Caenorhabditis elegans: one gene and its partner. The protein of the gene in region 1 purifies or fractionates together with the protein of each later gene. This does not show direct contact. Each region holds a gene or a part of one and is shown in the gene's direction. Other genes may lie near its edges.

The links.
Region 2: the proteins of tba-7 (region 1) and tbce-1 fractionate together in Caenorhabditis elegans (co-fractionation; one large-scale study listed by BioGRID). This does not show direct contact.

What each region holds. Positions count from the first base shown.
Region 1 is NC_003281.10:11,367,844-11,373,525, reverse strand, and holds tba-7 (Tubulin alpha chain), read left to right. Parts: upstream 1-1,737; 5' UTR 1,738-1,750; coding exon 1,751-1,967; intron 1,968-1,995; exon of another isoform or gene 1,996-2,205; coding exon 2,206-2,507; intron 2,508-2,560; coding exon 2,561-2,731; intron 2,732-3,661; coding exon 3,662-4,176; intron 4,177-4,962; coding exon 4,963-5,092; 3' UTR 5,093-5,175; downstream 5,176-5,682. Other genes in the region: dpy-18 (Prolyl 4-hydroxylase subunit alpha-1), read left to right, coding at 1-165, 314-481; pugs-8 (Cystatin domain-containing protein), read right to left, coding at 5,177-5,242, 5,295-5,507.
Region 2 is NC_003282.8:8,293,171-8,297,835, forward strand, and holds tbce-1 (Tubulin-specific chaperone E), read left to right. Parts: upstream 1-1,519; coding exon 1,520-1,686; intron 1,687-1,949; coding exon 1,950-2,433; intron 2,434-2,515; coding exon 2,516-2,927; intron 2,928-2,977; coding exon 2,978-3,231; intron 3,232-3,860; coding exon 3,861-4,025; 3' UTR 4,026-4,113; downstream 4,114-4,665. Other genes in the region: K07H8.2 (SLC41A/MgtE integral membrane domain-containing protein), read left to right, coding at 1-875, 929-1,111; nprl-3 (GATOR complex protein NPRL3), read left to right, coding at 4,323-4,366, 4,457-4,536, 4,581-4,656.

The sequences.
Region 1 (5,682 bases):
ATGAGCCAACCATCTCACGGAGGAGGTACCGTCTTCACTGAGGCCAAGTCTACAATTCTGCCCACCAAGAATGATGCTCTCTTCTGGTATAACTTGTACAAACAAGGAGACGGAAACCCAGACACCCGTCACGCCGCCTGTCCCGTTCTTGTCGGAATCAAATGGGTTAGTTTTTTGTTTCTGGTGGGAGCCCGCGAAATGTCGGTCGCTTCTTATATCGGTATTTGCGTACTTTCGCAGCTACAGTAACCCACAAAAACACCTCTAGGACCACAATTTCATGAGGAATTCGAATTTTAACTTGTTTTTCCAGGTATCCAACAAATGGATCCACGAGAAGGGCAACGAGTTCCGTCGTCCATGCGGCTTGAAATCCTCAGACTACGAAAGATTCGTCGGCGACCTCGGATACGGCCCAGAGCCAAGAAATGCTCCAAACGTGTCCCCAAATCTTGCCAAAGACGTCTGGGAGACCCTCTAAGCATTGGTTTTCATTGTTTTCTGTTTTTTTTCTTTGTGCCGCATAATTTATCCCCACACACTACCGGGTGGTTTCTTACATGTTTTCTCTTTTTTCTCTTGTTGCCTTCGATGAAGTTGTCTGCCTTTTTCTTTGCCGTGAATAAATTATTTTTTACTTTTTAATTATGTTATTTGAAAGCAGCCGACAATTCCCTAGTGGATCCTGTGAAGTGATGGCTGCAAGCCTGTAAAGCGTCGTATGCAGAATAGAAACCTGTAAGAGGTCGGCTGCAAACCTATTAAGTGTCGGCTGCTGAGTAAAACCCCGTATAGCGTCGGCTGCAAAATAAAAAACCGTAAGAGGTCGGCTGCCAACCTTTTAAGCGTCGGCTGCTGAGTGAGAGCATGTATCGTATCGGCTACAAAACTGTTTAGTGTCGGCTGCTAGATAGGAATCCGTAACGTGTCGGCTGTCAACCTATTAAGCGTCCGCTGCTGAATAAAAACCCTTGAGATGTCCGCTGCCAACCTGTTAAGTGTCGGCTGCTAGATAGCAACCCGTAAGGTGTCGGCTGCACACACACTGGATATTATTGATTTTCCGAAAACTTCCGAATTTTTCTTCTCCTGCTTACCTTTTTCCGTAGTTTTATCATTTTCTCATCATCACTTTTTCGCATTGACAGACCGCCAAAAACGTTTTATTATGTTTGTTTGCTCTTTTTCTTATCAGTGCTTAAATATTATGAAACATCTTTATATGAAACTCCTTTTTTTGGCATTCTCGTTTTCGAAAAAATTGAATTCCAACTCGTTTTAAGCAAAATTTTGAAATTTTGGCTTAGATTTTTTGGCAGCTTGTATCTTTGCATGAATGCTAGAATAATTTTGTCAACTGATAAATTGTAGAAAATTTCATTTGCTATATTTTGTTAGTTAACAATTTTTTAGTAACTGTTGTGGTTGGCAAGTTGCAACCGTGTAAAGTTGTAGTACATAAGCGTCACTGGTTATTTGCTACAAATGCTTGTATCTTTGTAGGAATGAGAGATATCAAAAAGTTGTCAACTAGGGAAATGTAGATAAGAAATTTTTCTACAAATTGTATGTTGCAATTTTTTTTTCTAGCTTTAAGGATTAGCGAGATATGTGCTTTCAAAAAGTTAAGGTTTAAAAAAATTTTATTTTGAAATTTTGAAATTTTGCAATTCCTATTGCGAAATTTCTGTTGATCGTTTAGTTTTTTTTTAACTTATAGTTAATCTAGTTTTTTACAGTACAGTGAACTATGAGAGAAGTAATCTCAATCCACGTGGGGCAGGCGGGAGTTCAAATCGGAAACGCTTGCTGGGAGCTTTACTGCTTGGAGCACGGAATTCTCCCAGATGGGACATCGATGGAGCCCGACGGGAACTCCGGCTCTCTGGGCACTTTTTTCTCGGACACTGGATACGGTAGACACGTGCCACGCTCGATTTTTGTGGATTTGGAGCCAACTGTTGTCGGTATGCAATTTTTCTTTACCCTTCATTCATGTAACCCCCACTCTTCAAGTATACACTTACTGAGCGCCGGCGGTGATGCACGCGTGGCCGAGTGGCAGTGTGTTTGCCTGCCACTCTGAAGGTCACTGGTTCAAAACCAATGAAGACACAAACCCATGTCCTGAAGATATCCGTGCTAGCATGATTAGTCTTTCCGAGGTTTTTTGTTGAAATTTTCCCCTAATTTTTCAATTTCCAGACGAAATCCGCACGGGAGCCTATAAAAAGTTGTTCCACCCAGAGCAAATGCTCACTGGCAAAGAGGACGCCGCAAATAACTACGCCCGTGGCCACTATACAGTGGGTAAAGAGATCATCGACACTACTCTGGACAGAATCAGAAGACTCGCGAATAACTGCGAAGGATTACAAGGATTCTTTGTGTTCCATTCATTTGGTGGAGGTACTGGCAGTGGATTTACCTCTATGCTTATGGAGAGACTCTCCGCGGAGTACGGCAAAAAGAGCAAGCTCGAATTTTCGATCTACCCGGCTCCACAGGTTAAACTATTTTAATTTAAAAATTGAATATCAATTTAAATTTTTTTTTTTAGATCTCCACCTCTGTCGTAGAGCCCTATAACTCAATTCTGACAACTCACACCACTTTGGAGCACTCAGATTGCTCATTTATGGTTGATAACGAGGCGATTTATGATATCTGCCGGAGGAATTTGCGGGTCTCGCGGCCAACGTACAATAATTTGAATCGAATTATTTCTCAGGTTTGGAGGGGATTCAAATTTTTTTGTTTTAGTTGAAAAAATTTTGCTGAGACGCCTTCGAAAAGTCAGCTTTTTAAAACGTTTGAAAAATACAGTAATCCTACCGTACTCCAACAGTTCTCCTACAGTACCACTACAGTAATCCTAAAGTACCCCTACAGTATCATAACAACAGTCCTACAGTATTCCTACAACACTGATACAGTATTCCGGAAACACTATTACAGTACCACTACAGTGCCCCTAAAGTACTCCTACAGTACTCATACAGTACCACTACCGTAGTCCTACTATATCACTACAATACTTATGCAGTACTACTACAGTACCACTACAGTACTCCTACAGTATCATTGCAGTTCTACTACTACATAACCACTACAGTAATCCTACGATTCCCCTATAGCCTGTCAAATCGCTTGCTCTTTGATTATGATTTCTGATCTTCTATTAGTCATAGGGAAACAATATTCCCTTCGTTCCCATCACATTACCACCTTCGCCCCCAACATTAGCATAATTCGATTTGTACGTATGGTATATAAGACGCTATACTGTGCATATAACATGGTTCAAGCATCAACCGGTTCTAGATGTAGAATCCCCTACCATCCTTTCTGGACCCTCCACCCCTTACTGATCCCTTAATATATACACTATTGTTTCCCCCCTTCTTCTTATTCATAAATAAATATTTGGCCTTATTTCCTTGTCCTCCTACCTCCTAGGACATAGCCACCCTACAGCTCCCCTACATTAATCATACAGTAGCCCTACAGTAACCCTGCAACAATCCTACAGTACCCATACGGAACTCTTGTAGCACCCCTACAGTAATCCTACAGTACTGCTATAGTACCACTATAGTAACCCACAGTACTTTTAACTAAAAAAACGAATTTTTTATGAAAATAATAAAAAAATTTCCAGGTAGTCTCCTCCATCACGGCATCTCTACGCTTTGACGGTGCTCTCAACGTGGATTTAAACGAATTTCAAACCAATCTGGTCCCCTACCCGAGAATCCACTTCCCCCTTGTCGCCTACAATCCACTGATCTCTTCAGCCCACCACGAGTTCCTATCAGTTGATGAGATAACGAAAAGCTGCTTTGAAGCCTCAAATCAAATGGTAAAATGTGACCCGAAGCACGGGAAGTATATGGCTGTATGTTTACTGTATCGTGGAGACGTTGTGCCGAAGGATGTGTCGGCTGCGATAAAATCGATCAAAACTCAGAGATCCGTGCAGTTTGTGGACTGGTGTCCGACTGGGTTTAAAGTTGGATTGAACTATCAGCCGCCTACAGTAATCCCGGGTGGGGATATGGCAAAGGTTCCACGGGCGGTATGTATGTTGTCGAATACTACGGCAATTGCGGAGGCGTGGCAGAGATTGGACTATAAGTTTGATTTGATGTATGCCAAGAGAGCTTTTGTGCATTGGTGAGTTCAAACGTTCATAGTTCAGCTAAGAATAGAATTAGCAAAATGTTGTCAACTAGCAAAATATAGAAAATTTAATTTTAAATATTTTGTTAGTTGACAATTTTTTGATAGCGTTCTTCACCGCTGAGTTAACCAAGTTTGAAGTTAGACAAAACTGCGGAAGTGTTGCCTCAACTTCAAACTATCATAACACAGCTGAGAATAGAATTAGCAAAATGTTGTCAACTAGCAAATTATAGAAAATTTAATTTTAAATATTTTCTTAATTGAAATTTTTTTGATAACTTTCTTCACCGCGGAGTTAACCAAGTTTGAAGTTAGACAAAACTGCGGAAGTGTTGCCGTAACTTCAAACGTTTATAACTCAGCTGAGAATAAAGTTATCAAAAAGTTGTTAACTAGCAAAATAGAGAAAATTTAATTTTAAACATTTTGTTAGTTGACCATTTTTTGATAACGTTTTTCACTGTCGAGTTAAGCAAGTTTGAAGTTAGAGAAAGCATGAGGGAGCTGTGGGAGTGATGCCTCAACTTCAAACCGCAATTAACAGCTCAGAATAGAGTTAGCAAAAAGTTGTCAACTAGCAAAATGAAGAAAATTAAATTCTAAATATTTCTCAAGTTTGCAACTTTTTGATAGCTCTGCTCATCGTGGAGTTACATAGGGTTTTACAAGACCAAAGCTGAGATACGCGCTTCTATTTAATGTCGGCTGCCCAGCAGCCCAGTGCATGACCCGTAAAATGTCGAAACACCTCTTTGTCAAAACACCTCTTTGTTCCAGGTACGTTGGCGAGGGAATGGAGGAAGGCGAGTTCTCCGAGGCACGTGAAGATCTGGCTGCTTTGGAGAAGGATTATGAGGAGGTTGGCGCGGATTCCGATGCTAATGATAATGGGGATGATGAGTATTGAAAAATAAAACTTTTTATTGGAAAGCTATTAGGTGATTATTGATTATGTACAAATTAACTGACAAAAGATAGATTAAAGCATTTTCTATTCAATTCTAACAGATTCGAAATCACTTCCCCCGTTGGATTCGGTAGCCGTGACACGATATGTCTGAAATTCCGAAGCTTAAAATCTAAGAGCTCTCCATAAAAATAAAACTCACAGCCTTAGCTCCTCCATAATATACTGGGCACATAGATTCGCACACATCCTCGAGATCATTTCCCTCCTCAACACTGCACCACGACTCTTGGAATACCACGACGAGATTTGTTACTGCTCCATTTTTATCCGAGCTCTGGATCTCGATGGGTACCCAGAACTTCCCGCGGTTGCCGTTGTTGACGCTGGTGGCGGCGGCTTCCCAAGCGAGGCCCTGTAGAAGACAAATTTTTAAAGTTTGCTTATTTTCCGAGTTACAAGAATTTTTAAATTGTAACAGGGGTAAGTTAGCTTTCAGTCTGCAAATTTCAAAAGCTTGTACCTAAGCGGGAGAGCGAAATACCAAAAAGTTGTCAACTAAAAAGTGGTGGAAAATGAAATTTGCTACA
Region 2 (4,665 bases), on another chromosome or scaffold:
GTCATATGGATTCTTCAAAACAACGAAAAGATGTAGTCATCGCCAACTTGGCACTTGTGCAAGTTCAGGCTACTGTCGTCGCTTTCCTCGCTTCTGCTTTTGCCGCTGCTCTCGCTTTCATTCCTTCTGGGGATTTCGATTGGGCTCATGGTGCATTGATGTGTGCAAGCAGCCTAGCTACAGCATGTAGTGCATCCCTCGTACTATCACTGTTAATGGTGGTTGTCATTGTGACATCTCGAAAATACAACATCAATCCCGATAATGTGGCCACACCAATTGCTGCATCACTTGGAGATCTGACGACACTCACTGTACTGGCTTTCTTCGGATCCGTGTTCCTCAAAGCTCATAATACTGAATCTTGGCTCAATGTTATCGTGATTGTATTATTCCTTCTTCTCCTTCCTTTCTGGATAAAAATTGCCAACGAGAATGAAGGAACACAGGAGACTCTCTACAATGGATGGACACCAGTCATCATGTCAATGCTTATCAGTAGTGCTGGAGGATTTATATTAGAAACCGCAGTCCGAAGATATCATAGCTTGAGTACATACGGTCCAGTATTGAATGGTGTTGGAGGGAATTTGGCTGCTGTTCAAGCCAGCAGACTCTCTACTTATTTCCATAAAGCCGGCACAGTTGGAGTTCTTCCGAATGAATGGACTGTCAGTCGATTTACCAGTGTTCAGCGTGCATTCTTCTCAAAAGAATGGGATTCTCGATCGGCTCGAGTTCTTTTGTTACTCGTTGTTCCTGGTCATATTTGCTTCAATTTCCTTATCCAGTTATTCACTTTGACTTCAAAGAATAATGTGACACCCCATGGACCACTTTTCACCAGTCTTTATATGATTGCGGCAATCATTCAGGTAAGGTTTTATCGAAAATTTAAAATATATAATCAAAATTTCAAAAATTGCAGGTTGTCATACTTCTATTCGTTTGTCAACTTCTCGTCGCTCTTCTTTGGAAATGGAAAATTGACCCAGATAATTCTGTGATTCCATATCTTACAGCTCTTGGAGATCTCCTAGGAACCGGACTCCTATTCATAGTATTCCTCACTACTGACCATTTTGATCCAAAGGAACTCACTTCGTCATAATTTTAAAACGTTCAAACTTTTACCACATTGTATAACTGCATCCCCGTTATTATAGATTGGTTCTCATCCCCCATCTGCATGTAAAACAGTATTTCGCTAACCTAATTTTTCATTTTCACAACTAACGCACTTTCATCAGAACTCTAGTCAAACCCGATGAGTTGATTGATATCCATTTGCCGTCAAGCGCATAATTTTCTGTACATTGTGATCCATTTTTCTCTCTAGCTATTTTTGGTCATATCTAATAGACATTTTGCATTTTCCGCTAGTCACTATGTATTTTTTGGGAATAAATAAGTTAATTTGAACTTTTAAATTTAATTAATTTTTATCTCTGGACATCTTATTCCGCGAGTGGTCCAATAATTTTGACAAGATGGGCCAAGAAAAAAAACAATTTTCCAGATGGAAATAGGACAACGAGTTCGAATAAATTTCGAAGTAGCAACAGTTCGATATATTGGAGAAGTCGATGGATACGGTAGTCAACGATGGGTTGGATTGGAGTGGGATGATCCGACACGTGGAAAACATGATGGAATTGTGAGAGGAAAACGATACTTTCAGACGAGGTTAACAGACATTTTCATCAGAAATATATTCTATAGACATTTCTCATTCGAAACTGTCGGAAATGAATTCCAAATTGGGACAAAAAATGGAAGTGATCTCCGCTGTACACATTTTCATAGTTTTATGGCGGTCTCCATGAACTTTTAAATATACAGTGTCGGGGGATTATTTACCGTATTTAACACTCCAATTACTTTCCCTTAAAAATTCGTCACTAAATAATACAAACTAGTCACAAAAGTGTGAACTTTCAAATTTTCAGACATCCAAATGGAGGATCATTGATGAAGCATGAAATAGTACCGAAACCAACTGATCTATTGTTTGAAATCAAAGACAGATACATCGAGGAAGAGAGCGTCGAAACTGAAATTGAATTGGCGCAATCCAATAAGAAGATCGAGTTGATCGGAATGGATCAAACGGCTGCAAAACAAAGCAATATCGAGAAACTTATAAATATTGTTCTTGATAATCGATCAGTCGGCTTCCCACCTTCCTCGGATTCTCCCCAATTTATACTTTGTCGTGAACTTAATCTTTATGGAAATCTACTGTACAAATGGAAAACAGTTCGTCAGATTCTTGAATATTTTCCTAGAATTCAAGAACTCAACTTACGAAGGAATCGCATGCAATGCTTCAATGAAGAAGAAGATGATGATGAATCAGAAGGAGATGATCATGTTTATTCGGATAGTTGTAAGAAATTGGTCATTAGTGAATGCAATTTATCTGAGAATTCGGTAGGTTAAAGATTAAAGGTTAAAGGAATACCAATGAAATATTAAAAAAAAAGTGTCTAGAATTGCTATTTTTATTTTTCAGATCGACTCGATTCTTCTCCGGTTCCCCTCTACATCAGATGTCGTGGCGTTTGGTAATGATCTCACAAGATTCTCAGTTTCTGAAGCTGTTTCATCTCGTCTTACATCCCTCGATCTCGAAGATAATCCATTCAAAACACTAGATTCCATTCACGGAACTTTTCCGAATTTGACACAACTTTCTGTGGCGAATTGTGGAATTACGAGCTTAAACGGATTCGATGGTTCGATAAAATTCCCGAAACTCGAATATCTGAACATAAAAAGAAATTCAATTGTTGAATGGAAAAGTGTAAATTCCATTAGATCTCTTAAAAGTTTGAAACGGTTATTGTTCGATTGCAAAAAATTATCAACTGAAAAGGGTGTCCATGCCTATGAGATTGTAATTGCCAAGTTGAGCACTTTAATAGGTTGGTTTCAAAAATATTAAAAATTATTTAAAGTAGATGTTTTTTTCTAGATCTCAATAGGTTTGATGTGTCAGAAGTAGAACGAAGGTCTGCAGAAATTCGATTTCTGAACAAATATGCCGGTCTAAATGATAACGAAGATCATCAAGACGATATCAAAAGACTGATTGAAATTCATGGAGAACCGACACTTGATACAGCAAAAAAGGGCCTTGCGGTGGTGAAAATTAGAATTGAATGTGGAAATCGAGTGGAGACACGAAGGCTTCCATTGGGAATGAGCATACAGAAAATTAGAGATATGGTAGGCAAATGAACAATCATTATTATTTGAATCAAGAAGACATGCATGTACTTTTGAAAATGCAAAGAATTTAATTTAAAAATGTATTATCTTGATTCGATTATTTTGGGGACGCAGAAACGCGCTCCACTTCCAATTGAAAACGTAACGAGCAATGGGTCTCGCTAGGTATTTGACAGAAAACTGTAAAATCAAACGTTTCTAGTTTGTTTTGCCGATTTCGCTAATTTTAAAGATTTTTTGTTATGTTTTCCGTTGTTTCCAAAGATTTTTATGCCGAAAGTAATGAAATAAAAATTTGAGACAAAATAGAAAAAATCATTAGCATTTCATTTTTAAACATCTCTTCGACATAAAAATCATTAAAGAATGAAAAACGAACCAAAAAAAGACGAAAAATGTTTAAAAATAGGCGAAATCAGTAAAACTAATTGAAACATTTTAATTTACGGTTTTGTCGCCTAATACCTAACGAGACCCATAGTTTGTGGGCGGAGCATTTAAAATTAACCGTTGAGCGTGTTTTCAGATCAATGTCTAAAGTGTTTTTTTCTGCGTCCCCATATAGAGGCTAGTTTCATCAAAAAATAGAGGCTAAATACTTCCATCAAAAATTTTATTTTTTCCAGCTCGCTCGTCTCTTCAAAGTCCCCAATACATCGAAAATCCGTCTATACCTCGTTATGAGTGAAAAAGCCAAACAACACCGAATTGAACTAGAAAATCCGTTAAGAGAATTTGGACACTATTCACCTTCAGAAGATCGAGATATTCTTGTTGTGGAACATGATTGAATTGTTACCGGAAGATTATTTATTGCACAACTTATTGTTTGTTACAAAATATATGAGCTTTAACTTGCATAAAATTCCTTAATTTCTTATCAGCGAAAATGTCCGTTAAAAATACTATCCGTTATGTATCGATTTCAATACTATTTACAATTATTCCGATTATGGAATAAAATCAATCAGTGAAAATTTCACTTTTGAAAATTTCGTCATATGCATGGGTCTCGCAACTATTGTTGGTTTTTTTTGTACTGTGATCTACTATTGCATACCAGAAAATCTTTTTTGAATTTTTGAAGAATGTCAGCGAAAGAAGTGGATTTCGAGAGAGAAAGTCATCTTCAGTGAGTTTTTAAATTACTGAAAATCAATAGTTATTTGTGATCTTGTTGAATAAAGTTCAATTTATCATAAAAATAATTTTGAATTTTCAGTGCTGTGATGTGTTTTCTCACTGGACAAAGCGGCGAAAAGATTGTATCTATTTATCCACATCGAAAACCAGCTACCAAAGGTAATCTGAACAATATAAAATCTCAAAAAAAAAAACATTTTCAGCTCCATCGAAAGATCCACAACCTTCCAGCTCTAATCCAGGACAATGTGTGAAGCCAGTTCTTACAAGTGTCAAAGAGTTCGTTTA